Notamacropus eugenii: one gene and its partners. The protein of the gene in region 3 purifies or fractionates together with the protein of the main gene of each other region. This does not show direct contact. Links are inferred from orthologs where the notes say so. Each region holds a gene or a part of one and is shown on either strand. Other genes may lie near its edges. The genes, in order: NHSL3, EPS8L1, ABI1 and WASF1.

Region 1 (6,892 bases), on a different chromosome or scaffold from region 3:
CATAAGGAAACAGAGGCTGATGAAGTTGGATGTGATTTCCTCTTGGAGATGAACTGAATGACCTTCTTCTAACTCTAAATCTTGTGATGGTACCTGCATCTTTGGTCATCCCTTAAGACCCCACTTAATTCCCTCCTCCTTCAAAAGCATCCTCAGCTCCAACCGGGTTTATTTCTTTGTCCTCCCCTCCCCGCATCATACTAGGCTCCTTCCCACTTCTGTGCCTTTATTTAGGCTTCTCCTCTTACCTAGAATGCCCTCTCCTGGTTTTCCCAAAGGATAATGGAACTTAGAGCTCAAAGGACTTTGGGGACCATGTATTCCAAACCCCTTTCTTAGCAGATGAGGAAATTGATGTTCCAAGTAAGAAAAAATTGCCAGGGGTAAGTCTGGTGGTGAGCACTGAAAGCAGCTTTCCAACATCTTGCTCCAAATCCACCCTCTTTGCAGTGGTACATGCATGCTGTTCTATGAGAAATGAAGACCTACAATTCCCTCAATGCCCACTTCAGATTCATTGCTATGAAGCCTTCCTTCATTAACGTTTCTGAATTCCTTCTCACACATGTCTAGCTAAGGTCTGGAGAGTAGAAAGAAGGTCCACTTATTCATATCATCTTAATATGTTGTCTAGAAATGTGATCTCTCCAACCCTATCTGTCTTGTGTCTTCAACTAACCTGTCAGTAACTTGAAGATAAAGACTATGTTTTCTTCTCTGATACCCTCCAGCCACCTCCAGGGAAAACACAAAAGTTCATCAGCACTAAGATCTCTAAACACTTATCCCATCCAGGTTAGTAAGATTATAAACAAACACAAGGAAGGAGAGTCATTTCTCCAAGCTGTATTTCCCTTCCCTGCCTGAATGCAGAAGGAGAGGAAAAGAGAAGGATAGGGAATTGACTTGATTTCTCAATTAGGAGGGTGAATAGGATATAGTAGGGATGTTGGGCAGAAGTGACCAGAATCCCAGGATCCTCTTCCCCCAGGCTTCCCTGGATAAAGGCTTTCCCTCGGGGAAATGTTAGTTTTTACCTTAGAAACCATCTAGTTCAATGCCCTCTTCATTTTACAGATGCCAAAACTGAGGCTCAGAAAGGAAAAGGGACTTGCCCAGGATCACAAATCAGATCACAAACCTCTAGGAGGTACCTATTCTCTCTCCAAGGAAAGTACAGAAAACTACATATCCTGTACCCAGACTGGAACAAACAACCTTGTGTAAGTTCCTTTCCAGTTGTAGGCCTCAGTTTCCATATCTGTAAGCAGAAGGGGTTAGGGATGTGATAGTTTCAAAGAGCCTTTCAACTTCAGAGAGTCTGAATTTAGATAGTTTATGAATCCAAAGGACATGGGGAAATGGGCAACAGTTTCCCCTGCTCCCTGACCCACAATTCTCCCCATAGGGTTCTCTGCACAGGAAATAGCCCAGATTTCCACCTGACCAGGCAGCTCCCCAGTGGGAGGGGATGTGAGCAGAGGGTGAGGCTGTACCTCCTCCCCCTATCTATCTCTCTGATATCCTCTCCCCCCCCACCACACACACACACACACACACACACACATATCAATCCCAGTTCATGTTACAGTTCTCCCAGCACTGAGGGAACTGGAGGGGGAAGCCAGGAATCCTGTTGCCCAGCCTCAGAGGACCCTCCCCCACCCCTGGGGCTGAAATACAACCTTTCAGGCAGATCCCAGCACAGACTGGGGCCCAGGCTGTTCCAGCTGGGTGACTGAATTGAAAAGGGGGGGATAGATGAGGGAGGGGCCTAGACCCTTGGCAGTGGGGGGGAGGGTGCCCCAGAGAACCAGTCAGATGGCTGATGTGGTCAGATGGAGCCAGCCCTGGGCCTCCAGCCTTCAGTTTCTGTCTCCAGCTCCCTCCTTTTGTCTCTCCCTTCCTCCAGTCAACCTTCTGCCCTCTGGGGTCTGCAGGGTGGGACAGAAGAACAAATGTGAGTGTATATCAGCTACTGTGTAAAACAGTGAAAGGCTGTGTCTGTATACAACACGGCATCTGTATATGACAATGTGAGTCTGTGTGACTATTAGCTGTGCTGATAGGTGTAATTGTGAGTACATGTAAGTGTGAACCCATGCTCTGCACACAGCGGGTAATTAACGTTTGCTGAAGAGAACTGTATGCCTAGGTAAATATGAGTCTGCACCCACATCTGCAAATCTATGTGGGCAGCTGTATAACCATAGCAGGAGTGACTGTGGACATCTGTGTAATAACTACGTCCGTTCATACATATTCATGTACAAGCATGCATATACATATATACATCTATACGCCATGTGTAACTATGTACCCATACATGTGAACATATATACAAATCTTCCACAACTATGTGCCCAGCTGGAAATAGACCCAATTCCACAAGACATAAAAATAAGTGCGTCCTGGGTCCTGTAGGTGTAACTCATGGTGTGGCTGAGTGTGATTTATAACTATGTGTCGTTGTGCACACATGCATGGGAACGTGTATCCCTGTCCTGTTTCTGTAACTGTAGCCATGTGTGGACGGATATTCCTGGAGCATTAAGGCACACTGTGTAACTATGTGTCCATATGCACACTCCTGCGCAAGCATGTATCACTGCCTTGTTTGGCTAACTTTCTCAAAGGCTATGTGCTGAGGATGTACCATACAGGCGCGTTCATATGTGCCCTTTGCGTGCAGCCGTGTGCATGCGGGAGGCTCCATGTGTGAGCATGCAGCTGGGTCCCCGTGTACACAGCCGGGGGTAGGGTGGGGGACCCCAAGTCCCCGGACGCGCGGCCCCCACCATCCCCCCGGGCTCGGGCCGCGCGGGGCAGCCCCGGCCCCTTCCCATCCCCCTCCCCTCAGCGCCCCCGCCCCTGCCTACCTGTTCCCTGCCTCCCCCGGCGGCGCCCAAAATGCCAGAAGCTGCGGGTCCGGCTGCTGGGGGGCTTCCTCTTATGGTGGGAGTTCCCCATGGCGCGCAGGGTCCCTGGGGGGCGGGGGCGGGGACAGGGATGGGAGTGGGCGGGGGAGGGGGCGCGCGCTACATGGCGTGGGGCTGGCGCGCGCTCAGGCCCCCGCGCGCTCCGGCAGCTCCGGCCGCCACCGTCCCTGCAGCCAATGGGCACGCCCGGGAGGGGCGGGGCCTCGGAGGGGAGGCGAGGGGCGGGGCGAGCTCCCGTATGCGGGCTCTCCCCCGCCCCCACTGGGACGCCTACCTCTGGCCCTCCCAAAGCTAGGCAAGCCTGGAGGCTCCTGGGAAGAGGAGGCGGCCGACGGCCCCTGCCAGGCAGAGCCCAGGAATTAGCACCCTCCTACCGGGTTGGGAAAATGAGACATAGACAGGATGCAGATCCTTGGTTTTCTCATTTGCAAAATGGGGATAACGTGCACTCCTTTCTTCACAGGAATTCAGAGTCAGATCTAGTGCTGAAAGCCACCTTACAAGTAGTAAGTGGAACAAGTTGGGATTTGAACTCAAGTCCTCTGACTTTAAATCTCAGCCTTCCTTCCACTGCACCATGGTTTTAATGAAGAAGGCACCATAGAAGCCATAAGTGATACAAAAATGGAAACTAAAACTTGTTTTATTATTACTACCTGATAACTGGAGCAAGTCAGTTCCTCTGTACAGGCTCAGTTTTCCCATATATAAGTGAGAGTGTCAAGTTATATAATCTCTAAGGCCTCTTATCAGCTCTAACATTCTCTGTTTCTATGATCAGCAAACAAGTCTGACCACATTTTACAGAGAGAAATACTGAGAGACCTGGAAAGATGCAGTACTATCATGCCTAAAGTCTAGTGGTGTTATGGAAAAGAGCTGGGATTCAACCATGGGTCTTCTGACTAAGACTAACATTCTTTCCATTTACTATGTTAATTTGACTGACTTCAAGGAGCCAGGTTCTCTACCCACAGACTGTCTCCAGATTCACCTACCTTCAAAGCTTCTCTCAGCACCCTCCCCTGACTCCCCAATAGATCTGGAGTCAGAAATCCAAGGTTCTAATAATTACTACTCTTGACTTTGGGCAAGTTCCTTCCCCTCTATGGGCCTCAGTTTCCCCATCTGTAAAATGGCAGATGGGCTAAATGATCTCAAAGATTCTTTCCAGTTCTAAATTCCTGTGATCCTATGGCACCTCAATGAAGGCCCTAGAAGGAAGTAATGCCTCAGTTTCCATATGTGAACAGGGAGCTAGAGAGCTAGGAAATGGAGTGGGGAGGAAGAAAGTGTCAACAGCTCAGAGGAAAAATATACTCGTCAATCTATCTCAAGAAAAAAGGACTGTTAATTGATTAAAAATTAATTTAAAAAATAAAAAATTTTTACAATTAAAAAAAATAAAAGACAACTGGTCTAAGATGCTTGTAGATCCCTGTGGAAAGAATCACCTAACCTTAAATACCATCTAGTCAGGGTGGGAACCTAGAAGATAAGAAAACGCCAGGGAAAAGGAGGCCCACAGTGTTGCCTAAAGACCTTTACTCCATTAGAGTATAAGTTCTTGAGGACAGGAACTATCTTCTGCCTCTTTTGTATCCCCAGCAAAAGGCACTTCATTAATAAATACTCATTGACCCCATTTGAGACAAACCCACCATATGAAAACTCCAATGACATAGACACTTTTCTCCTCTCCAGTTTCAATCCTCATCCTTCACTTTTCCTGTGTCTGTTGGTGTGTCAGGGTGAGCTTGAAGAAATTCCCTAAAGAGAAAAACTTGACAGGGGCAGAGGCTTGATCCCTTCCTCCAGCCCCAGGATGGGACTGGGCACAAAGGAGGCACTCAGCACAAATCCACTGATTGACAAACAGCTCATTTTTCAGTCTTTCCATTGACAAAAATAAATCTAACACACAAAAAAAGGGGAAACCAAAGGACTGTACCAGGGTGGAACAGGCTGCCACAGGGATCAGTCATTACAGCATGCAGAGCTGACCGGAAGAGACCTTAGAGCTCACCTAGCCCAACGCCTACATTTTATAGATAAGAAAGCTGAATCCTTGCCCAAGGTCACCCAAGGAACAGGACAGAAGACTGGAACCCAGGTCCTCAGCACTCTCATCCTTGTACTGAACTGAATGAGCATGAGCAGAGACTGGGTGACTGAGGACACTATGGAAGGGATGGTGGGAATTCCGGGAGGTTTTGGATTAGATGACCTCTGAGGTCGGGATTCAAAAACTTTTCAGGAGCTGTTCTATAAAGTGGGATCCCTCTGTGTCTTCACAGAGTGAGACAATTTGTCCAGGGATAAACTAGGATTCTCATCCTTCTGTGATCAGAGAGCTTGGGCATCCACTGAAGCCAAGATACTATGCGGGTGATGGCAGCATTTCCAACCTCCACACCCCACCCCCAAGGGGTACAATGCTCTTTCGCATGGGGTTTACTCAGCATGTGATCAAAGCAGCTGAGATGGCTTTGTGCTGGGATGGGGGGCCCTCTAGGGAGGCTCTCTTCTCTAGGCCCAGGTATGTACACGAAGTCTGATACAGCCTGGGTAACCCCTCTCACCCCCACTCCCATAAGGCACTGGTTTAGCCAGTGGTTGCCATTATTCCAGGCCCAAGGAACAGGGAAGAATGGGGGGGCCCAAAGCCACAGACTCCAACCTTCATTTGTCTGCCATGATCGGCTGGTTCCATGTCTGTCACCATCCTTTACCCCCATCAGACAAGTACAGCCCCAGTCCCTGGCCCCTGTTCTACTCCTCCCTAACTGCAGCATCTTCTCTGGAAAGGATAATGAATTCACCTCTTTGGGTGTGAAGTCTTCTCCCTTTAGAAAGTAATCTCCTTGAAGGCAGGAGCTGTCTCTTTTTGCTTTTATTTGTACCTTAACACAGTGTCTGCCATATAAGTACGGCATAAATGCTCATTTTCTTGATGAGATTTTTCTAGTAACAGAGAAACTAGAAATGTCCAAGTCTGGCACTTTTCCCATACATCCCCGCAACTTCCAGAACAGTGATTGTTCTCTCCCCATCATCTCCTCCCCTTCCCCTACTGTACCTATTCTAGGGCAGGTTATCCAATACCCGCCCCCCACATTCTGGAGTTACCTCCCACTACTAACCATAATTGTCTTCTCCCCCATGTTCCAGAGCCCTTCCTTCAGATCCCAGATCCCAGTTTCAAATCCTAATCCCCAATGTTCTAGAGCAGACTTATAGAATGTTAGAGCTAGAAGAAATCTTTAGGAAAGATCTGGTCCAACCCCTTCATTTTCAGTTAGACAAAATGAGGCACAGATAGGTGGTGAATTGGCCCCAAGGCCACATAGCTAATTAGGTGTCAAAACCCAAAAAAGAATACAGGCCTACATGATCCTAAGGAATCTTTCCATTATACTTCACATCTCCCCTTATGTGAACAATAATCACCCCCTTCCTCATTTTTCAGACCTGTGATTTCATTTTAACCTTACTTCATTTCAGGGCAACAACTGCCCACCAGGATCTCTCCAGCTGGACTAACCTTCTCACCTCATCCCCCAAGCCCTCCACAAACATGTAGCGCCCACTCATGAACAAACACAAATGTATACACATCTGGCTCAGGATTCCTTCCAGCTCTTTTGGGGAGCCACCTCACCCAGTTCTGATCTCATAGCACTTTACACTCTTCTCTTGTCTTTTTCAAGTGCTAATTTATATTCAGTTCATCTGTGTCTCTGAGATCTCCCGTCCCCAGCTAGACTAAGTGCTCCTTGAGGACAAGAGTTAAGCCTTTGTCTTCTTAGTTTCCCCCATAATGCTAAAGGGTCTGGCACACAGCAAGGGCTTAAATGGTTGAATGGGCATGGGCAAAGAGCTTCAAAAGCCCTTCCTGAGCAAACATATTTCTCTGTGTTCCTTACACAATATCCTCCCTGTTTCCCTTCCCC
Region 2 (7,629 bases), on a different chromosome or scaffold from region 3:
CACCTCTGGGTGGCTCCTGTTTCCCTGGTCAGACTGGTTTCCTGTGGGCAGGGCCATGTCTCCTGTCTCTGACTGGGGGCTCCCCAAGAAAGAGGCCCACACGGGATGGGGGCACTGTGAGGGAAGGAAGGCTGCTTCTTCCCCTTTCCCTTCAATGCCCCCCCTTCCCAGGCTTTCACCTTCCTTCTCCTCGGGGATGGCTTCCTTGGCCAGTGGTCCCAGCAGGTGTTCCCGGGGAGCGATGACCACACGAGTTGAAGGCCGACGTCGGAAGGGGGTGTCTGCAGGCCCAGGGCTGGGGGTGCGGTTCAGCTCCTCCTGGGTGGCCCTGAGGAGCAGGGTGAACACAGGGGCTGGATCCTCCAGCTCAGACTCACTTTCCTCTCCCACCATATCCTGCTCCCCATCCACCTTAGGGCGGCTGCACGCCGGTCTCCACTGCCTGATCGCTGGGCTTGTAGGGCCCCATGAATGTCCTCTCGGATCAGCTCTGCCTGCCAAGGGGAGACAATTTGGGAGATGTGACTCCCCCTGCCCTGAGTCCTTTCCTCAGAGGACCTGTCCTCTCTAAAGCCACAATGAAGGAGCTCACCAGAGACTGGAGGATAGAGAGGGCCTGGGGGAGGAGGCTGGGGCCCTAGTTTGGGCTCTCCTTTCTGCCCCTCTTTCCCCTCAGTCTCCCTTACTGGCTCCCTCACTTTATCCCGGCTCCATGCCTGCCTCCCTTTCTCCTCCTGCCTTTCTCTGTCCCGTCCGTCTTTGGGTTGGTCATCCTCAGCTTCTACTAGTACTCCCACCAAGACCCTGTGGGCTCCTGCCAGTCAGGGGGCCCTCCTCTGGGGCACCTCCCCCCAGCATCCTCATGGCCTCCCCTTCCCTTCCTCTTCCTTGCTGGTCCCCCCCCCCCCCCAGCCTCTTATTGTCCAGCAGCTCTGGGAGCAGTCCTTTCCTGCATCATATGGGCCAGCGGGAGCCTGGGCCCAGCACCTCCTTACCCCAACTCGGAGGCCCTGGAAGTAGTGGACATCGGGCTGGGGCCGGTCAGGCTCCTGACACACCAGGAGGAGGAGGGCTTGTGTCTGGCCTGGGGGGAACACGGCCTCACATCGGAGAATGGAGTCCAGGGCGTAAGACTCCAGCTGTTCCTGTGGGGGGAAAGGGGACACAGGCAGGGCTGCCCACCCACCCAGGACCCCCATGGAGGGGGCATCTCTTAGGGGGTGCCAGTCTGTTTCATTGCATTTCTTCTCCCCACTTCTGTCCCCTCTGATACCAAAAGTGCTTTGAGATCCTCCATGAACTTCTCTATGGGGAGAAAGTCAGGGCCAGAGAGCGGCAGGGTGGAGTGGACTCAGTGGAATTGGGACCCAGAACCAACACTGAATCCCTCCTTCCTCTCCTGACCTTGGAGTCCACGTCCAGAAGCTTCACGTTTCCCGAGGACACTTGTAGCAGCATCTCCTGGGTCCAGATCCGGCCCTGGGCATCCATAGCAGACAGTTTCCTTGAAGCGTCCTCCACCGTGTGGACCCCGTCCTCTTCCCCCAAGCAGAAGGTCACCAGGTGCTGGGGGAAAGGGAGGCAGGTGAGGCCCAGACACTGACTCTTGACTCATTCCGGTCCCTCAGACCCACGAGACTCACGTTGACTGCGTACTGGGATACGTCTGCCATGATCACGGTGGAGTATTTCTTCCTTTGCTCTGGGGCCAGAAAGAGGGAAACTGAGGAAAAGATAATTCACCTCTCCTCCCACTAAGCTCCAATTCCCCTTCTTAGAATCCTTCCTTCACTGCCAATGAGGAGGCTCCTTGGCCTGGAAGGGACCTTAGGACCACTGACTTGCAGCTGAGGCAGTGACTATGGAGGCTGTCTATTCTGCCCCCTCCCCATTTTACAGACAAGGAAACTGAGGCCCACAGAGGAGAGGGTATCCATCCACCTCCAAAGGGGCAGGGCTGAGATTTGAACCCAGGCCTTCCATTCAATCTCCTTCACTACCTTCAGGAACCCTCCCCTCGGCCTGGTATGTGTGTGTGTTTGGGGGGTGGGCTAGGTTCTGGACAGTTTTTTAACTGGCCAAGGCCAAGCACCGGGCCCCTGGCCCACAACCCAGCAGGGACCCAAGAATCCTGAGATCCCTAGCCCAGCCTCCATCCCAACCTGGGCTGTCAGTTGGGGTCTTCTCCCAGCACTCCCAGGGACATCAGTCCCTCACTCACCATAGATGGACTTGGCACTGGGCTTGGGGGCTGCAGTGGGCCTGAGGAGGAGGGTCAGAGGGTCACCGAGTGAAACCTCTCAGGTCCCCTCTTCCCCTGGCCCAGAGTCCCAACGCTGAGTGGCAGAAGTGGAAGAAGGGAGGGGATATGGAGGGGGGAGAGGAAGAAGGGAGGATGGAGGGTCAGGAGGCTCCCAGCCTTGGGGGAGACCGGGGCTCTAGAAGACACTCACCCTGCTGGGCTGGTCATCATGCTGCCAACTCAGAAGTGGGGGCTTCCAGCCTGGGGAGAGGAGAGGCCTGAGGTGGGAGACACGGGGACCTAAGTAGCCCCAAGGAATCTGGGATTTGGGAGCTCTTTGGTCGACCCTGGGGCTTTGAAATGCCTGGGTGTCTATGCACCTGGGGTCCAAGACACTGAGGTCCTTCAGGGGGTGGGAGCTGAGGAATGCCTGGGTCTGGGGACTGAACGCCAGCTTCCTGAAGAGTTGGCCACGGAGCAGGATGCTGGGGTCTCTGTCTTGGGGCTTACCCGGACGATGTCCTGTCCTGGCAGATGTTTGGGAGACAGAGCCTCCCGGGTCACAGCAGGCTTAGGCCCTGGTCCCAGAGGGAGAGAGAACCCAGGTGCCCCACCTCCCCCCACATACCTAAGCCTTCACTTGGTGGGGTGTGGTCCTGGGAGGCGGAGCTGAAATGTTCAGCCAGTGCTAGCTGAAGTTCAGGGACCAGGGTCCTTAAGGGAGGTGGAGACCAGGGGATCAGGATGCCTGGGTCGTTGGAAGGAAAAGACCAAGTGGTTCAGGTGCCCGGGAACAGTGGAAGGGAGGGCACTCCAGGGGCCCTGAGCCTGTGGTTGGCTTTGGGTGTGACCGAAACTGAGCCCTCTCTCCCTCCCTCCCTCAGTCCCTGCTTCCTCCTCCTCCCTTGCTCTCCTCCCTCCTTACACGCCCAGGTACACCTAAGACGGAAAAACCTAGGTCTGGGAGAGAGACCAGATCTCTGAGCCGCTAATACCGCCTATACCACCTCCGACTCCGGGGCTTCGACTGGAGGATGCTTGGAGATCATTAAATCTCACCTGCTCCCTCCTTCTGATGAACCCCACCCCTCACAGGGCTGGGTGAGAAGATTAGTTTGTGAGCCTTCAAGTGCTGAGGAAATGGGAGTCAGGATTATTTTACAGAGGGGGAACTGAGGTTCAGAGAGGAGCAGGTACTTCTGAGGTTGCTTCTCCCTCAAATCAAGAAACTTGAACACTGCTAGGTCTGCCCCTTCCATGCTGTGGGTCCTTGGGTAAATCTCCCTGCTCAAGAACTCAGTCAACATGGGGTAGGGGCCTTCGATGTGTGGGCCTGACCTGGGTTCCCACATACCTTCAAGGGGCTGCCATCCTCCAGGAGGGCAGAAAAGCATAAGGGACAATATTCATGAAGGAACAGAATATTAGGTGAGTTCAAGCAGTCGAGTGCCCCGGGGAGGGGGCACAGGGATGGGTAGGAGGTGACCTGAGCCTAAGATGAAGAAGTGTGGAGGGATGGCATTCCAAGTAGGGGTCACAGCCCAGGCAAAGGCCCAGAGGTGGCCAATAGCATGTACTTGGGAAACAGCTAGTGGGCCAGGTTGGCTGAAAATAATGCAAAGCCAAAGTGAGAAGCAGAGATTTTGTGTTCAAGGCTCTGTAAAGCAAGTGTTTATGAGGTGCTCACTACTACGTGCCAGGCACTGCGCTAAGCACGGGGAGTCTACAGCTTGCTCCGCCCCCTCCAGACTCCCCAGTTTCTCTCCTTTTGTTGAAGCCCAAAGCCCTGCTCTGACCAGGTAACTCCACTGCTCAAGCACTCTCTGTGGCTCCCTCGTTGCTCCTGGTCCTCTGGCGGGGTTGCCCCACCTCGGTTCTTCGACTCAGGGGCCCTCTCCCCCTCAAGCTCCCACGGCACATGCATTTGCTTCTCTGGGTCTGAGAGGCGCCCAGGCTGGAGCAGGTGTCAGATGCAGGACCCCCCCCTCCACACACACACACATAACAAAGACAGCTGCCCCAAGTGGGAGGGGCTGCCTCAGCTGGAAGGTCTTTGGAGGGAGGGGCAGCCCAGGCTGAGCTTGGTGCTGGAGACCCCTCCCTTCTCCAGCCCAGTGGGAGCCTGGGTCCCCTGGTTAGCCTGAGCCCGGGAATGGGGGCAGGGGAAGGCTGGAAGCTGGGTGGAGATAAGAGGAACCGGCCTGGCCAGCTGGGGAGAGGCTGTGAGCAGGGAATGCCAAAGTTGGCCCTGTTTGTTCACAGGGAGGGGAGGCCCAGGGTGGCAGCCAGTTTGGCCGGTACGTGGACAAAGGGCGGAAGGGCAGGGGCTGGGGACTGAGGCAGTCAAGGTGGAGGATATGGCTCAAGTTCCTCTCCTGCTGGCCCCCTCCCCCACACACCCTCTATCCTCCCACTCCCAGTCTTCTTAAGTCAGCTGGTGGATCATGTCTGGAGGCAGGAAGGCCTGAGTTCAAATCCAGCCTTAGACACTTCCTAAAATGAGAATACTAACCCATCCCAGGGCTGCCATGAGGATCCAATGAGATAAACTGTAAAATAGCTCAGTGCCTGGCACACAGTAGGCGCTGCCGTTATCTTCTCTCCCCAGTGCCTGGTACACAGTAGGTGCTGCCATTATCATCTCTCCCCAGTGCCTGGCACACAGCATCTTGCCCAGTGCCTTTACTTTACAAATAAGGAAACAGGGGCCCAGAGAGGGAAGTCATTGCCAGTGAAGATCCACACCCAGGGTTTGCATGCTCAGTTCCACTCCATCTGACTCCAGAGGGGTACTTTGGAGGGCATCCTCCTTGGAGTTCTCACAATAAGCCTCAGTTTCCCCCACCATGAGGTGAGGGTATGTGAGGCAGTGTCTGAAGGGGCCTTTCCAGCTGAGTCTCCCAAGTCCTAACCAGAAATGTGCCATTAAGCCTCTCCTCTCTGGACCTCAATTTCCCATTTTGTAAAATGAAGTTGGACCTGGGGGCCTTGGGCTGCCCCAGGGCCTGACCCTCTGGGCAGGTGCCCTGAACACCAGGCCAGACAGCTGTCCTATTCTTTGCCCTCATAGTACTATCAACTCTTGGTGGGCTTGTGGTCCATTGTGCCCAACAGATCTTTTTCAGACAGCCGCCATTGACCTATCCCTCTCCCGCACTCCCCTTCTGGCCATGGTTAAAGCCTCAGCTTAGGGTGTTTTCTTTCCCCTCTTCTCTGCCCACCTGACTTTCCCAAGGTCTTCTAGCTCCAGACTTGGGATCCCTGAGCTCAGGGGATCCAGGTCATGGTTTCAATGTGTGGAGATCCTTTTGGCTCCTGATTTATAGCAAGCATGTCTGCCTGTCATCCTGCCCAGGTCTGTTCCATCTGCCCATCTGATAAGTGGGGTGTCCCTGCGACTGTCAGAACATGGGCCAAGGGAGGGCCTCCTACAGATGAGAGCTGTTTGGGGGTTGGGGGGGTTTGGGCTGAAGCTGAAAGAGCCTGGGCAAAGAGGGCTGGCTGGGGGAGGGGGCAGAAGTCCAGTGGGAGGGGCTGGCTAGGGGAAGGATCTTATTTATGGGCCAGAGAGGGCCTGACTGGCTGCTTTCTGGAGGATGTAAGCTCCTTTCATTTGACAGACAAGGACCCCAAGGCCCAGAGAAGGGAAGACAAGTGGAAGTGGGAGGGGGCAATCCAGATCCCCAGCCCTCTCCCCAAGGCACCCTGCTTGCCCACACAGGAGAGAAAGGCCAACTCTGGAAACTCATCGCCCAAGATGCCTCCAAAGGTGCCATCTGACCTCGGCGACAAGTCACTGCACATGGAGGGTTGGGGCATGTGGTGGGGAGGGGCTGGGCCACAGCACTGTTGATTCAGGCATATTTGAGGGAGGAAATGCCTAGGAGAGTGGGCTGAATGTGCTATAGACTGCTGGGCCAGGAGGAAATCCCGGCAGATCCCCAAGCTGGCCAACAGGCCCTGCATGGACCAACAGGCAAGATGGTGGAAGTGTCCTGGCCTCCCGGTGCCCACCTCCAGGACTGAGGAGCTGAGTCTAATGACCTAATGGGCTGAGTTTCGTTTAGGCCAATGGTGGCTGCCTAACTTCCAGGGTCATCCCCTCTCAATCCATCCTTAAATAAACAGCCAACCCCCCCTCACCTGGCCTCTGCCTTATGTCTGGGGAACAAACATGACCACTGGCCAGAGGGGTGCATTTCTCCAGGCTTCCACTGCATGCTTTGGTTTCCCATCTTCCTAGTCCAAGGCTTTTTCAAAGTCTAGACCAAGGGGCCTTAATCTGGAGGTCCACAGATGGATTTCAGGGAGTCATTGATCTTGGGGGGAAAAACCTGGATATTTATTTTCACTAACTCTTAACTGAAATCAAGCATTTCCTTCCATGATGAATTAGAAATCCTTCACGCAGGGGCTCCCCTGGCCCCGTCAGCCCATAGGGTCCAAGCTGGAGGGGGTACAGAGGTCTCCTCTTCTAAGCGACATTAAATGAGAACAGAAACTCAGAAGGCTTGGGGGCACCTAAGTCAGGATTTGTGAACTTGTCTAAGCAATGTATGGCTATCTGTACTCTGGTAGGATGATTCCTTTGTGTGTCAAGCCCTCATGATTCTGATGAGGGGTCCCTGGCCTTCACCTTTAGACTGATTGCCTGAGGGGTTGAGCCTTTGGAGAGCACAGCTGATCCAATTCCTGCTGTTCAGATGAGGAAGGGGACAGGGTAGTCTGGGCCCAGCCAAACCTGGGCCTGCAGAGTGTCAGAGGCAGGAGGAATCTCAGGGGACTCCCTGAGAGGTGTGGAACAGGCCAGGTGTCCTGAGGGGAGTCATGAGCTCCACGTGTTAAGTGATTTTCATAGATGATCCTGCCTTCAGAGTCTCAGCCTCATCCAGCCCCACGAGCTGAGTGCTGTGCGCCCAAAGCTTCTGAGCAGCCTCCTCATCCTGGGCCTGGGGAGCTGGGTCCCGCTCATGGAAGGCATTAAAATACTTGCCCGAGACCCCACTCAGCTCCGGAGCCACAGCCAGGTAGACACTAGGTTGGGCTGCCAACTTGGGCGTCTTTATCAGCAACCAGAAGAAGGGGCCTGGGGTCAGGACACAGAGGGATAGATACAGAGTCAGAGAGGCATCGAATGATGTGCCTAGTCTGGTAGGTGGGGAAACTGAAGCTCTGATAGGGGAAGACACTTGATTAAGCCCCACCCCCCATAAGGGGCTAAGCAAGCTGATGATCCAGATGGGCTTCCCCAGTCAGGTCTGGGAGAGTTCCGGTGCCTCCTCCAAACTGCTGAGGAAGAGGGACTTACCAAGGACTGTGCTGGAAAAGACGGACTTGTGCAAGCCTGTGTGTCTGCCCAGCTCAGTGCTGGCTACCCCGGGGTGCAG
Region 3 (7,951 bases):
TTTCTTAGCACCAGAAAGTACCATGGGTCACAGAAATGTCATAAAAAAGGCTTAAAAAAAGTCTTCTCCAACCTTTAGGATAAATGCATGAAAGAACATGAATAAGAATCTCAAGCAGCCATAGCAATGACAAGAACAGCAGTGGTGATACCTTCCACCAATACCACATTCACTTTCTACCTACTTTGGAGGGCAAGGCACCTGGCACAAGCAAAGCTTGAAAGGTAAAGGACTATATATTCTGACAATCATTGTTATATGTACCTGTCATTATTTCAAAAATATTTTCCTATCTTTTTTAGTTTGAGGGTAAAATGTGTGTGTGTGTGTGTGTGTGTGTGTGTGTGTGTGTGTCTGTGTATTCAACTGATAAAATGAAAAAAGTTTTGAGAGTCACTAACAGGATTCTTAGCATTCTGGTTTTACTAGGGAGAGTAAGTAACATGAGGCAATTTATGTTAATAGAAGAGATTCCTGGTAGAGTTTAAACCGCTTCCAAGTTTTGCAATAGAAAAACAAAAAACAACTACACTGACAAAGAAAAAAATTGGACAGGTTAAAACATGTTACCACACCAAGTACCTGTTGTATTTCCCAACATATAAAATCAAATGGAACCTCCCTGTTTTGAAGGATCTATCAACAGCCGTTGAAAGTAGGCTTTTAGAAGATTCCGATAAGGTATTTTACGTTTTGACTTGTAAGATCCTTCCAATTTTCACCTGAATTTTCAAAGCTTGACTTTGGAACTTCAGTTCAGTATGTGCCTTTCATTTTGGTGAACTACAAAATTATTTCTTGGTCTGCAAAACTAACTTTTTTAAAAATCTATATTATCAGTGGATAAGAATAAGAGTCAATCATTTTTTTCTACAGTTATGGTATTAGCACAATGCTTAGCAGGTAGTTGAAGTGAACATGAAAATTAAGAAAGATTCTAAATATTCACAAAAGCAACCATTCATTTTCTTTACTTTTAAGGAGAAATAAAGTGGAGGAAATGCAAGCATTGGCAAGATAGCTACAAAAAAAGAGCTATTTCCAAAAATTGTCTCTATGCCTCCTTATTATTGAAGTAACCAGAACTTTCAAAAGCCCTTATCTGCCATGACTATCCAATATTAAGTGCCCATTACAGTTTGTCCATTATTTCCACACCCTAAACATTTACAGCTGAGTTGTGAGAAAGGCATTTCCATCTAAACTCAATTCAGGAAATAAAAATTCTCTAGACATTCTCAAGGTTTCATGATTTTATATTACACGACTTTTACATCATTAGAAAGGCTATACCAAATGTCTTAGTACAGTTCTGACTTTTGGGGCACCCTGCAAGTGTGGTATACGTATGAATATATGTAGGAATATCGGTATGTGGGTAGATAGATATATTTGTGTATATTTCCACATACATACATTTGAATGCAAATATGTTTATGTGTGTGTAGTTTTCTGCCTTGGAAACAATTTTTAATCATCCTAACCATCTATCTCAATTAGAAGTAAAAGAAAACTGTGGTCAGAAAACTGGGAACCCAACAGAAAGAAGAGGTTCTAAGTTATAGATAAATGCGGGAGTTTTAAGAACTTTTTTTAAATTTTTGACGGATAAGGGAGAAGGGCGGTCACTCAAGGCAGCTCTCCAGTAGTTAAAAATAATTCAAGACGAATAATTCTACCCGATCGCTCTAATCACCCTCCCGCACGAGAAGCCAAAGCCCAAGAGCGGAAGTGAAACTGTGGATGGGGGGTGGGGGGACCGGTCTGGAAACCCGCGAGTCCGCGGCCAAGCCCGGGGGTCAGGGGGTCCATTCACTTTCTTCCTCTCCAGAGCCCTCCCCCAAAGGGCCCTTCTCCCCAGCGAGGTGACTCAGGACAAATAAATAAAATAGAATACAAGGCACACCCTCTGGGGCTAGCTGACATAATCCACCCCCCTCCCTCCCCCCGCGCTTACCCCACCCTCTCTCCCCGACAGTCACACTCACACACACTCCAGAACACACATATACCTACAAGCACACACGTAACAGTCACACAAACATGAGTGCACATACATAATCTCACCCATGGTCACACATACATGGAGTCGCGCTCACATATACATACACACAATCATACACCCAAACACTCCAAATCACTCAGATACATACAATCACACACTTACAAGCACACACGTATATACTTACAATCACACACACACAAGCACATACACATATATACCCACAACCACAAACACACAATAACACACACACATACAAGCACATACACATATATACTCAATCACACACACACAGACGCTCCCCGCCCGCCCCCCGCCCGGCTCTTGGCCGCGCTGCCTCAGTTTCCCCGCTCCGTAGCCGGCTCCCTCCGGCCGAGGCTCATCGGGCGCGGGTGGCGGTGGTCGCCGCGGCCCCAGCGGCCGCAGCGGGAGCCCGGGCGCGCCAGGGGTGTCAGCGGGGCAGCCCGGCCGGCGGGCGGGCGCAGGGCGAGGCGGCGGCAGCGGGTCCCCTCCGGGCGCTCGCCCATTTTCTCGCTCTCCCCCTTCTCTTCCCACCCCAGCCCACTTCCTGTGGCGGAGCCCCGGCCGGGGGCGGCGGGCGGGCGGCGGTGCCTCTCCCCGGGGCGGGGGCCCGGCCCCGGGCGGGGGCCGCTCCTGACCCTCCCCTCCCCCCGCCTCACCTGTATGTAGTTGTTCTCACAGTAGTCCGCCACCCGGGTCAGGTTCTGGTAACTCTCGATCAGCGCCCTCTTGCCGGACGGGATCTCTTCCTCTAGCAGCATCTGCAGCTCTGCCATTTTCCACTCCTCCGCATCGCTTCCTCTCACGTCCAAGAGACAGCGAGCGGCGGCAGCGGCGCGGTGAAGTCCGGGAGTCCAAGCCTCTGAGCCCGGATACAAGCCGCCTACCCGCCCTCCCGCCTGGTATTGTGGGACATCACCTCCTCCTCTTCCTCCTCCTCACCCCCACCCGCTGCGGTCTCGTTCTCGCGATGCGCGAGCTTTCAGCTCCCCTTCCCCCCGCAACCCCCGCAGCTTCTGAACAGAGAGATTGGGTTTTCCCCTTTTGCATTGCCCTCTGGGAGTTGTAGTCTTCTCTCCCCACCACCCCACCCCGGGGGACTTTCCCGGGATGGCAACTGCGCAAGCGCGCGAGCTACCGGCGGGAGAGAGGGAAGGGAAGTGTGGAAGTAGCATGGTGGCATTATGTGCCGAGCCAGCCGAGAGGTCTGCCCTCCTGCCTGCCAGCAGGTGGCACCTGAGAGGGAGAGAGCCTGGCTTACTAGTAACCACCAGGTGTTTGTCAGCTACTGGAAAAATCCGAGCCGGGAGACGGGGATGGGTGTGCCTTGACCTTAACCGTGCCCTTCCTGTGGCCTCGGTGAAAGGTGGCCCGCCCTGCCCCCCAGGCCTCCCACACCGGCCGCGCCCGCCTCCCCTTCCGCACGTTGCCTCCGGACATCCCCCCGTGCCTGGCACGCAGTGGGCGCTTCATAAATGCACACCCCCTCCTCCCTCCCTCAGCCGGCACGGGTCCCTTCCTCCGTCCTGGATCGGGGCGCGGGCCACGTGCTGGCTGCCCCAAATGCAATGGCATCAAACTCATCTGAGACTAGTCGGAACTCCCGTTTAATTCCGGCCCCCGGAATGCCGGGGATGGCCAAGTCCACAAGCCTCCGTTAGGCACCCACCCGTGCCCGCGCGACGTCGCTCGAATCGGGGAAGTGGCTAATTGGCCTGCACCTCCTGAGCTCCACGCGGGGTGGGGGGGGCGGTACCCTAAACTATTCAGGCTTCTCCCGGGGGAGCCTTCTCCATTCCCCTTTGTCGCAAGGGTCGCACTGCTCCCTGCGTTTGAGAGAAATCTTCTCATTTTTAACTGGTATTAGTGATAGCTAGCTTGAAAGCTGGCAAAAAATACCATTTTTGGTAAATGGTAAAAAATACCATTTTTTTATCCTTATGACAAGCCTGAGGGGCATTATTCCTGTTGGGTGAGGCAGCAGAGAGAGCTTAAGTGACTTGCCCAAGGTCACACGGCTAGTAAGTGTCAAGTGTCTGAGGTGCCATTTGAACTCAGGTCCTCCTGACTCCTGCACTGGTGCTCTATCCACTGCACCACCTAGCTGCCCCGATTTCACTAGTATAGCCCTTGTGAAGAAACTCCTTCTGTCAGTGCTAGTTGACATCTTCTGAGAGTTGCCTGAATAGAACTGTATAGCAACAAAAAAAAAAAAGTATTTAAATATAATGTTGAATTTCAACAACATAATTTTTTTTACAACAGCAATTAAGAAAAATTTTGCGTTTGTCTACAGGGCTTTACCATTTTCACTTATATCTCTTTTAATCTGCATAGCAGCTCTCTAAAGTATGCATAACAGGCTTTATAATCCCTATTTTCGAAATGAAGAAACTGAGACTCGGAGAAATGAGTCAGTCAATTAGAAGCTAAGTGATTTATCCAAGTCAGCACATTAAAAGGCAAAAACAAAAATAGAACCCAGTTTTCAGATTCTTAATGCACTCCTTCCACTGTTCAATGCTACCTACACTTGCAATATGTAAAAAATATGATGTACTACAGTATGCAATCTGTAATTATGGTGACATTATTTTCCAAACTCCAAATCAGCAGCCAACAAAATAATTTTTAATATGACTTATATTGCAACAGAATAGAAGATTTCAAATCAGAATCAGAACTAAAATAGTAAGGTAGATAATCATCAGGCCTTTACTGATTCTACTTTAAGAGATACACTTTGAATGAATTTTTTATTAATAGTCCCTCCTGGGGGAAAGGGGGAGGAGTTTAAAGCCTGAAGCTGTGGAGCATAGTTTTTCTATATTTCAAATTTAAAAGCTTATATGCTGTAAAACTCATAATTGTAGAACCATATTCTAACAAACTGAGCTAACTATATGCCAGAATCTTTAAAACATATGGCAATAATAATAAATAACTAGCCTTGTTATAGCACTTAAAGGGATGAAGAGCACTTAACATTTTTATCTCATTTCGTCCTCACGATAAACTCAAGAGGTAGGTGCTCTTATTAGCCCCCTCTTATAAATGAGGAAACAGAGGCAGACAGAAGTTAAATGACTAGTCCAGGGTCACTTAGCCAGTAAGCACCTGAGACTCTGCAATAGCACATACATGTTATTAGTAAAGCATAATATCATAGAATCTTTAGAACTGGAAGAGACGTTAGCAGTTCTCTAGTCTAGCCTTTTACTCAATTCAAGAGTCCCTTTCTTGGCATTCCTGACAGAGGATCATATTCCAATATCTCTTGAACACTTTTTGATAAAGTCCATCAGTCCTCTGCTTAAACATTTGTGGGGCATGTGGCATACAGAAAGTAGCATATAAATGTTAGCTATAATTATTCGTTATTATTATTTACAGTGCGAGGGAGCTCACTACTTTACAAGGAACCCTATTCCGTTTCTAATTGCTAGGAACTTCTTACTCCTATTGTGCTAAAATCTGCTTCTCTTATAATTTCAACCATCTGGCCTAGTTCCACCCTTATAACTGTTGCAGATTTTGCCTTCCATTTAATAGCCCTGTAATGTATTCTGTATACATATATCCTTATGCATGTATATGTATGTATTCTCTTCAACAAGCTAAAAATTCACAGTTCCTTCCACTATTTCTTATCTGGCATGGTTTTCAGCTCTTAGTCATGTTCCTCCAGGCATAATTGAATCCAGTTCTCTAAATGTGGCCTTACTACGGAAGAATACAGCAGGACTGTCACCCTTCTTTTCTCTGAACACCCCCTTAGGTACTTCAAAGGCTCTGTTATCTCATTTCTGTGGATATTTTCTCCATGGATACAGATCCCAGGTCATCCGCATCTTCTTGTCCAATGTGATTATTATTCAGGTTTGTCCTTCATTCTTGGAGATGAACATGACATCAGGAAGATGATGCCATGACTTGCAGGTAAATTAGATTTAAGTGAGGAAGGACTGTGCAAAGTCACCAGCCTTTCTCCTCCTGAGTCACATTCTCCTCTGGGTCCAGTTGTAAGATTTGGATCAGAATGACTGGAGATGGCCCTCAATTATTGTTCATGTCTTTCAGTGAATGTATTCAGAATCTACCCAAAGTACTGAATGCCTTTTCTAGTAATTTTAATCTTTTGGGCCTACCTGTAGAACACAGGAGCTGTTTTAACAAGTCTAATTTTCTGACAGATATCAGAACTGTCTAAGTATGACCTGCCTTAAAAATGAAATGGGACTCCTTGTGAAGTCATCCCTTGCACTTGCTGTGTGACTGGCACACTTCCTTTTCTAATCGTATGTATGCTTCACAATGTCTTTTTTTTTTAATTTGCTTTGATATCTTTGGTTTTTATATCACCATCATTTCTCAAATATCCCTCCTTCCTACACCACTGAAAAACCTTTCCTTGTTAGTAGCTTTCTAGTTAGTAGTTTCTGACTCTTCATGACCCAATTTGGAATTTTCTTGGCAAAGATACTATAGTTCTTTGTCATTTCCTTTTCGAGCTCATTCTACAGATGAGAAAATGGAGGCAAACAGGGTTAAGTTACTTGCCCAGTATCACACAACCAGTAAATGTCTGAGACCAAACTTGAACTCAGGAAGATGAATCTTTCTGAGTCCAGGCCCAGCTCTTTATGCACTTTGCCAGCTAGCTGCCCCATCCCTCATAACCATCCCTCATAACAAAGATGAGGAAAAAAGGGGGGAAGCAGTTTGGCAAAACTACAAAGAAGGAAGGAAGGCATAATATCTTGGCATAACATCTCTTCATTCCCAAGCATAGGCATTATACTGATGCAGCATTCCATTTCTGGGTGAAGAGGGAGGGGGAGGGGGAGCAGAGGGTACTGTCCTTTACAATTATGTCGTCATCCTGTGCATTGTTTTCCTGGTACTGCTGACTTCACTCTGCCTCAATAAGTCTCCCAGGGTTTGTCATATTCATCATTTCTTATGGTACCTGTAATATTCCATAATGTTGATGTTCCACAGTTTGGTTAGTCATTCCCCAATCAATGAGCATCCTCTATGTTTCCAGTTATTTACTGCTATAAAGAGCAATGCTAGAAATATTTTTGTGTATATTGGACCTCACGTTTATTGATTTATTAACTTGATCTCCTTGGAAAATATACCTATCAGTGCGATCTCTAGGGCAAAAAGTTATGGAAACTTTATTCTCCCTCTGTCTCTCTGTCTCTTTCTCTGTCTCTCTCTGTCCTTCTGTCTGTCTGTCTGTCTGTCTCTCTCTCTCTCTTTTTCTCTGTCTCTGTCTCTGGCCCAATCCCAAATTGCTTTCCAGAATGGTTGGACCAATTACAACTCAACCAATGGCGTATTAGTATTCTTGTCTTTCCACAAACCCTCCAGTACTGGCTATTTCCAATTCCCCCCCTTTTTTTAGTTTCTTTTATCAGTGTGCTGGGTGTAAAATGAAACCTCAGTTTTTAAAAAATTTACATTTCTCTTATTATTACTGATTTGGAGCACTCTTTCATATTGTTAATGGTTTGCAGTTCTTTTGGGAACTGTTTATATCATTTGAGAACTTAATATAATCTTTTACATTTTTTGCATATAACTGTCATTGGTCATATATGTTTCAGGCTTCTTACACTATCCATAGTTTCTCCACTTCCCTTTGAGTTATCTGCAATTTTGATTATTTTGCAATCCTGATGCTTCATAATTTGCAGCCTTATAGCATTACCAGGAGAATACTGATGATAAAACAGTGGACCTTTTGTGTCAGGAAGCAACTTGGACTCATTGAAAGCAGGCAGTTTCTAAAATGCAATACATCTCATTTTCTTACCCTGTTTAATTCACGGAATTTGTATCCCCAGCCACTAACACAGTGTCTGGCACATAGTAGGCACATATCCAAGGCAGGGGTTGTTTAGCCTGAAGAAGAGAAAA
Region 4 (7,271 bases), on a different chromosome or scaffold from region 3:
CAGAAATACAATATGCCCCTGAACACAATGACTAATTCCTAAGCTTCAATAATAAACAAAGTTAACTAGTCCACCTTTTAACTGAGAGGTCCTCTTTATAGGTTCTCCCTCACCTGCTAGTTTCTGAAAGGCAGGGGAAAGGTCTTGATATTTTCTGTAGGTTCTTCATTGAACTGAAATAAGGCTTCTATGCATACTTTATCCAGCAGTCTCTAAGCATCCTCTTACATTTAAAGGATTTTAAAATATATATGTTCAACACTAGAATAATCAACTTATTAATTACATGAAAAATATTTTTTCTCATTAGAGTTTTAGCTTTCCAACACAAAGTACAGAATAATTAGTCATTCTGAAAATTAAAGTTTAATTGAATTCTTTCATTCTCTATGCTATTTAAGCACTCTTCATTCTTATTCAACCTAAAATCTTTAAAATGCTTTAAAAATAACAATACCATATTTATGCCCTATAACATCCTTGTGAAACAGGTATTAACCCCATTTTGCACAGGAAATTGAAGCACAGAGAAGTCCATATAAATCTCCCGGACATAAAACTCATAATACCATCTCCTAAAGCAAGCTCCCTAACACCACATTCCCTCAGATAATACAACTATTTATCTTGCTATTGCATATCCTCCCTCTATCATAAAACAGTTACTGCATGTATTTCCAGCATCAATTGACCATGCCTATCTATACTCAACTCAGTTTAATCAAAAGTGTTAATAATAAACTTAATCTCTAGGCACACAAAAAAGCTCAAGACAGGCTGCAAATCAAAGACAAAGTACTTAGTTTTGGTGCCTTTTTTTTAAAAGTCAGAAGTAGAATTGATTATCACAATGATTAGGACATCATCAATGATAATGACTGAAATATGTTTCTTGGACTTTGAAAAAGTATTTCATCTTTTAAGGATGGATATTCTTTAAATGTTCATATTTTTAAGGGCATCTTTAACTGTGAACAGATAGAAAAAAATAAGAAAATTCTATCTAATGAAAGAGAACGGTTAGAACCAAAATAAAATTTTAATTAGTATGAAATATTCAATACAGCATTACAATCCTTTCTTAATCCCCCCTTTCTTTCAAAAGATAGAATTCCAAGGAAGGCTGAAATTATTAGGTACTATGAACATTCAATTACTAAAAATCAAGCAGAAGTGCTGACAATGGAAAATACCAAATTGTCCTTTATAGCAATTTGAGAAATGTACATTGTAGGTGTTTTAATCAAACTACGTTGGAAATCACTCCCACAAAAATACATTCGTGTCTTAATTCAAAGACTGCATTCTCGTTAAAGAATCGCTCTTGTTAAACACCATGCTATGAACCATTAGAAACGTAATATACAAGTACGTTTAAGACAATTTGATGTTTTAAAGAAGCAATTATCAGCGCCAATGAAAACTCATACCATCTCACCAAAGGGAGCATTAAAACACAACTCACAACGCAGATCTTAGGAAACCACTGAATTAAGCTCGATCGCATCAAATACAATGAGTTAATAGGAAGGAATACGTGAGTTGGTTAAAGGACAAGTCGAATTGGTTTGGATCGGCATCGTTTTCCAGCCCTGCTCCGTGAGTAAAGCAGCAAGCGCAAGAGTGGTGAGATTCCTGGAGAGAGGGGGCATACTGTACCGAGCAGGGAGAAGGATACAGAACAGGATATAGACAGGAGCACTTAATTCTTTGTAGCTGAATGATTTGCCTAGGTAGAGCAGTAAGAGAGTTTTCCCAAGAAAGGGAGCTTCTCCCCCTCTTAAGCCTTCGCCAGAACCCCATTTACCGATACGAGGTGACGGAGACTACAGTTAGCAACAGCTAGGGCTACACTACAGCCCCAGCCGCCGCTTCTCCTCCTCCTCCTCAAAGGAAGGGGATGAAAGCAACGAGCGAAGCAGCTGGACACAAACCGGCGCGTACACGTACGTACACACACACACAGGCACACGCACACACAGGCACACATATGCTCGCTTTTTAAGGAGACTCACAGTGAAACGAGGAACGAGGGTTAACGCACGACCCCTAAACGGCAGCCTTCGCCAAAGGCTAGGTGTGACAGCCGGAGAGCACGGTCCGAGCAGAAGCAGCGGCCCGGACACCTCAGGTGGGACCCGCGCCCTCCCCACCTCCCTCCAGCCGCCACCGCTGGGCGCTTCCAGCCACCAGCCACCAGACAGGCACAGGCGCCTAAGCCAGCTCGTTCCAGCAGCCAGCTGCGCAGGGGTGGGCGGCGTGGGGGAGAGGAACCCGAACGAATGAGGGAGAGCTACCAGGGATAGGCAGCCGGGTGGGGGGAGGGCGCCACAACACGGAGCCATCCCGTTTTTCCGGGGGCGTAGAAGGATAGGCAACACAAAAACACACACTCACTCACCGTAAAACGGGGAGGGGGAGGCTCTTGTCTTACACCTCCTTCATGCCGGGTGATGCTGCTTCCCACTCCTTCTGCAGCCGATTCCTCCGCAGGCCCTGGGAAGGGGCTCGGGGTGGGGGTGGGGGGTAGCCCCTTGGATTCCTGTTCCAAGCGACCCCTGTTCCAAGTGCCCCGGCCCACCCCCTCCCTTCACTTAACCTGCAACAGCCCTAGCTCCGGCTCTTTCAGGACTAGCCCGGTGCAAAAAGCACGAGCGAACAACACTGCGAGCCTCCACCCTCCCCCCACCCCGCCCCCTAACTAGAGCGCGCGGAGCTCCACAAATGGGAGAGAGAAAGGGGAGCGTGAAATAGGGGGGCTAACAGCGCTCCCTCTCCTTCCCCACTCCAAGTTTCTTTCCCTAACCTCCCACTAGACCGGTTATCCCCCGGTGGGGGCTCGAGTGAAACGACCCTCCATTTCCTCCTCGGGCTCCAGTACCCAGGTGTATGCTTTGAGGATGCTGGAAACCCAGCCCCCAACACACCCCAAATGGCATGAAAACCGTGCTTCCCCACCCCCTTTTCCAGAGACTGCGTGGTATAACCCGATCCTCGGTTTGGGGGAGGGGGCCAGAAAGAACTGAGGATGGGCTAGGGAATAAGGTAAGGCAACAGCCAATTGAATGAAACCAGTCACTGAGGGGCGGTGTCAAAAATTCCTCCAGAAAGACTACATCTCCCATGGTGCTTTGTTCATTAAACGCCGCGTGGGGAATCGGTATTTAGTTCGCTTGTCGGAACTCGTAGTCTTTTAATTAAACCGGTAAGGTCCTGGAAGGTATCAAAAAAACTGAGGTTTCCCTTACCCCTTCCCCTTTTGCCCATTAAGTGATTAAATTCAAGACTCTCGTCTTTTATAAATAGATCAAAGGTTAAATAATCACTGATATAAAACTCCTGGAACTAGTTCAAATTCGGGATTTGAGGAGGTTCCAGGGCGACCAAAGGTTTTTAGGACCTTTCCGATCGCGGCTCTTTCTTCCGCCAAGGCCTGAGCTACCCGGGGAGAGTCGGCGCTGCAGTCATGTCGGCTGCTATCGCTGCCCTGGCAGCTTCCTACGGCTCGGGCTCGGGGTCCGAGTCCGACTCGGACAACGAGACCGGCCGCTGTTCCCTGCCCGCCGCCGACTCCCTCATCCATCTGACGAAGACGCCTTCGGCCAATCTCTCTCTGGTGGGGACCGTGGACGCTGCGCCGGAGGTGGCGGTTAAGGTGAGCAGTTCTCGCCTCTGAGGGGCTAGTTGGGGTGAGGGGTCGGGGAGGGGGGCGGAAATTGTCGGCTCGGCCCGGGGTCCGCTGGGGCGGAGGGTGGGAGGGGCGGCTCCGGGGAACTCGGTAGGGCGAGGGCCGCCTTCCTTTTCGAGTGGGAGCTCGCTGAGGGCAGGGATCGCGCTCTTCGCCTTGGCCGCTGCGCCCGGCACTTAGCCCCGGGCCTAGGTCGGAGGAAGCGCTTTTTCTGGGCTGGTTGGTTGAGCTGCGTGTGCTGATTGACAGTCTGCCTGCTGCTCCGACTGTCGAGAGCGGGGCTGCTGGTCATGGATGCCCGGAGACTTGGTAGCAGTCTTCCAGCGAGGCTCTGGCGATCTGCTCCAGCCCTGCCCCCCCAAGGCGTTTTTCTAAAGCTCAGGTCTCACCTGTCTCTAGGAGCAAAGGCGAACTTCGCTCTTTAAAGCCCTTCGTGTCCTGGCCCCAGCCCCCTTTTACGTAGTTTTTTTGGTGAAGTCTGTTCTCCTTTTCCATCTTCCTACCTCTTTTTCCTCCCCCTCTCTTCCTCCTTACCCGCCCTTTCCCTCCTTCACCTATCTCTCTTCTTCCTCCCCGACTCCCCCCCCCTCCCGCCCTCCCTTGAAACCTGGCAAGATACCTTGGGGTTGACGGGCTAGATTTCCTTTATGGAGCAGGCCTTAAACCTCTGCCTCTCACTGGTTGGCCAACAATGGGACCTCACTGGGTCCTTGTTTGGATTCTGATGGCTGTGAGTGAGTGTAAAAATAGCAGTTGTTTCTGTTTTGTCCAGAAATCCTTAGGGTCTTTCCCTCCCAGGTTGAATTTTTTTTTCTTTTTTATTTGACTAAGTAAAAGAGGTCCTTCTTTGCCTCGTTTTTCACCTAGCCTTAATCACTGAATGGGCTTTGCCTCAGATAAACCTGAGACCTGGGAAAGACCTTAGCTTAAAAAGGCCAAGGTCTCCCACTGCATCAGGGCCTTCTGCAGTCGCGTTGATCTATATCTGGCCACTGGACCCAGATGGTTCTGGAGGAAAGAGTGAGACTGGTGACTTTGCACCTGCCTCACCTAAATCCGATTCACTTGCAAGTCATGACATCTCCTTCCTGATGTCATGGTCCTCTTGGAGAACAAAGGACAAACAACAACCTGTGTGTAGTAGGAACTGCTCCACTGAAGACCCAGTTGGCCAGTTCCATTTGGCAGCTGCCGCTCCCTTTTTTTCCTCCCTTCCTCTCTTTCTCTCTTTTGCCCTCTTTCTCTCTCCCTTTCTCCCTCCCTTCTCTGCCTCCCTCTTCTCCCTTTGTCCACGTAGGAAATCATACCCTTACCTGTGAGTCCTCTGCCCAAAAGAATATAAACTTTAATCTCTGAAACCTAGCAAGATACCTTGGGATTTACGGGCTCGATTCTTTTTTGTGGATCATACCTTAAACCCAAATCACTCTGGCTCTCATTGATTTTCTAACATATCAATATGGGACAATAGGTCCCAGCCCAAGCTTCCTCACTTCGTGGGAGTATATAGCTCAGCCAGATATATGTACATCATGTTTACAAGTCAGGTGTTCATAACTTGAGGCACATTATGCTGTTTTGCCTTGTGTAACACATCTGAATTCTCTGTTTCATTTACAAGGAAATGGGAAAGAGAATAGCTTAATTGTATATTAATATGTATTTTATAACATTTTAGAAAAAGGTTATTAACCCGGAGCATAATTTTAAAAAATATTTTGATAGCTGTTTCAACATAATCTGTTTCCTTTGTAATCATAGGTATTTCATTTTATGTATTTAAAAATCAGTCACTAAACATTGATCAAGCGCCTGCCGTGTGCCAGGCACATTATCCTAAGCAGGATTCCACAGGCTTTGGTGGATTTCCTAAAGGTTAGACGTTCCTATTTTAGACGTAGAATTCTAGAATTTAAAATGATTTTTTGTTTTATTGATAACAAAAGTGAGGCCCAGGGAGTTTATATAGCTTGTAGGTGAAAATGCTGGAACTATATATAATTTAGGTCTCAGCTTCTAGTTAATACCCCTTTTACTATATAAAACACTGCTTCTCTTTCTCCATCATGAAGCAAGGGTTTAAGAGTGTGTGTGTGTGTGTGTGTGTGTGTGTGTGTGTGTGTGTGTGTGTTTAAGTTAGGTGGTAGAGTGGATAAACTAAACCTCAAATATCATTCTAGCTTTATCTTTATGACTCTGTGCAAATCATTTAGCCTTTCTCAGTTTCCTCATCTGTAAATGGTAGTTGGGAGAATAAAATGAGATGGTATTTACAAAGCACTTTGTGCACCTTAAACTGCTGTTTAAATAAACTACTATTAGCAAATGTTAATCTCAGAATGATGTTTTTAAATGCATAAAACATGTAGCATTACAAAAGAAACGAATTATATTGAAGTAAAGGTGTATTTTTTTTTCCCCATTCAAGTTCATGGACCCCCTGAAGTCTGTCTATGGATCTCAGGTTAAGAATCCCTGTCATGTCTGTATAGAGTTGGCAAGTAGTAGTGTTCAGAAACTACTTTTAAAAAGTATGGTTAGGAATAAGATCAGGGGTGAAGCAAGGATGTCCATTATCACCACTATTATTCAACATGGTACTAGAAATATTAGCTGTAGCAATAAGAAAAGAAAAAGAAATTGAAGGAATTAGAATAGGCAAAGAAGAAACTCTCTTTGCAGATGATATGATGATATACTTAGAGAATCCCAGAGAATCAAGTAAAAAACTACTTGAAATAATAAACAACTTTGGCAGAGTTGCAGGTTACAAAATAAACCCACATAAATCTTCTGCATTTCTATATGTTACTAACAAAGCCCAACAGCAAGAGATAGAAAGAGAAATCTCATTTAAAGCTAGGGTAGACACTATAAAATGTTTGGGAGTCTACCTGCCAAAACAAACCCAGGGACTATATGAATACAATTACAAAACACTTTTTGCACAAATAAAGGCAGATCTAAATAAGTGGAAAAACATCAGTTGCTCGTGGGTAGGCCGAGCCAATGTCATAAAATGACAATTCTACCTAAATTAATTTACTTATTCAGAGCCATACCAATCAAACTGTCAGATAATTATTTTCTAGAGCTATAAAAAATAATATCAGAATTCATCTAGAAGAACAAAAGATCCAGAATATCAAGGGAACTAATGAAAAGAAATCCTAGAGAAGGTGGCCTAGTCCTACCAGATCTCAAATTGTATTATAAAGCAACAATTATCAAAACCACTTGGTACTGGCTAAGAAACAGAGGAGTAGACCAGTGCAATAGGTTAGGTACTCAAGACACAGTAGCCAATGAATATAGCAATCTACTGTTTGATAAATCCAAGGACTTCAGCTTCTGGGATAAGAACTCACTGTTTGACAAAAATTGCTAGGAAAACTGGATAACAATATGGTGGAAACTGGGCATAGACCAATGCCTGACACCATACACAAGAGTAAAGTCCAAATGGGTACATGATCTAGGTATAAAGATGGATACTATAAACAAATTAGTGGAGCAGGGAATAGTGTATTTATCAGATTTATGGAGAATGGAAAATTTTTTGACTAAATGAGATAGAAAACAT

The links.
Region 1: the proteins of ABI1 (region 3) and NHSL3 purify together in Homo sapiens (affinity purification with mass spectrometry; 3 studies listed by BioGRID and IntAct, with this or other methods). This does not show direct contact. The link is inferred for Notamacropus eugenii from reciprocal best matches to the Homo sapiens genes ABI1 and NHSL3.
Region 2: the proteins of ABI1 (region 3) and EPS8L1 purify together in Homo sapiens (co-immunoprecipitation; 4 studies listed by BioGRID and IntAct, with this or other methods). This does not show direct contact. The link is inferred for Notamacropus eugenii from reciprocal best matches to the Homo sapiens genes ABI1 and EPS8L1.
Region 4: the proteins of ABI1 (region 3) and WASF1 purify together in Homo sapiens (affinity purification with mass spectrometry; 6 studies listed by BioGRID and IntAct, with this or other methods). This does not show direct contact. The link is inferred for Notamacropus eugenii from reciprocal best matches to the Homo sapiens genes ABI1 and WASF1.

The regions. Positions count from the first base shown.
Region 1 is NC_092876.1:77,118,176-77,125,067, forward strand, and holds the start of NHSL3 (NHS-like protein 3), read right to left. Parts: upstream 3,019-6,892; 5' UTR 2,971-3,018; coding exon 2,880-2,970; intron 1,935-2,879; coding exon 1,686-1,934; intron 1-1,685. UniProt on the Homo sapiens protein: Able to directly activate the TNF-NFkappaB signaling pathway.
Region 2 is NC_092876.1:17,749,424-17,757,052, reverse strand, and holds the start of EPS8L1 (epidermal growth factor receptor kinase substrate 8-like protein 1), read right to left. Parts: upstream 3,009-7,629; 5' UTR 2,871-3,008; exon of another isoform or gene 2,504-2,870; 5' UTR 2,474-2,503; coding exon 2,454-2,473; exon of another isoform or gene 2,263-2,453; coding exon 2,222-2,262; exon of another isoform or gene 1,703-2,221; coding exon 1,644-1,702; exon of another isoform or gene 1,567-1,643; coding exon 1,405-1,566; exon of another isoform or gene 1,146-1,404; coding exon 996-1,145; exon of another isoform or gene 913-995; intron 495-912; coding exon 412-494; intron 329-411; coding exon 180-328; intron 1-179. Other genes in the region: RDH13 (retinol dehydrogenase 13), read right to left, coding at 7,084-7,328, 7,551-7,629. UniProt on the Homo sapiens protein: Stimulates guanine exchange activity of SOS1. May play a role in membrane ruffling and remodeling of the actin cytoskeleton.
Region 3 is NC_092874.1:67,587,210-67,595,160, forward strand, and holds the start of ABI1 (abl interactor 1), read right to left. Parts: upstream 3,016-7,951; 5' UTR 2,800-3,015; coding exon 2,683-2,799; intron 1,926-2,682; exon of another isoform or gene 1-1,925. UniProt on the Homo sapiens protein: May act in negative regulation of cell growth and transformation by interacting with nonreceptor tyrosine kinases ABL1 and/or ABL2. May play a role in regulation of EGF-induced Erk pathway activation. Involved in cytoskeletal reorganization and EGFR signaling.
Region 4 is NC_092873.1:190,083,048-190,090,318, forward strand, and holds the start of WASF1 (actin-binding protein WASF1), read right to left. Parts: upstream 3,017-7,271; 5' UTR 2,402-3,016; intron 1-2,401. Other genes in the region: CDC40 (pre-mRNA-processing factor 17), read left to right, coding at 3,467-3,655.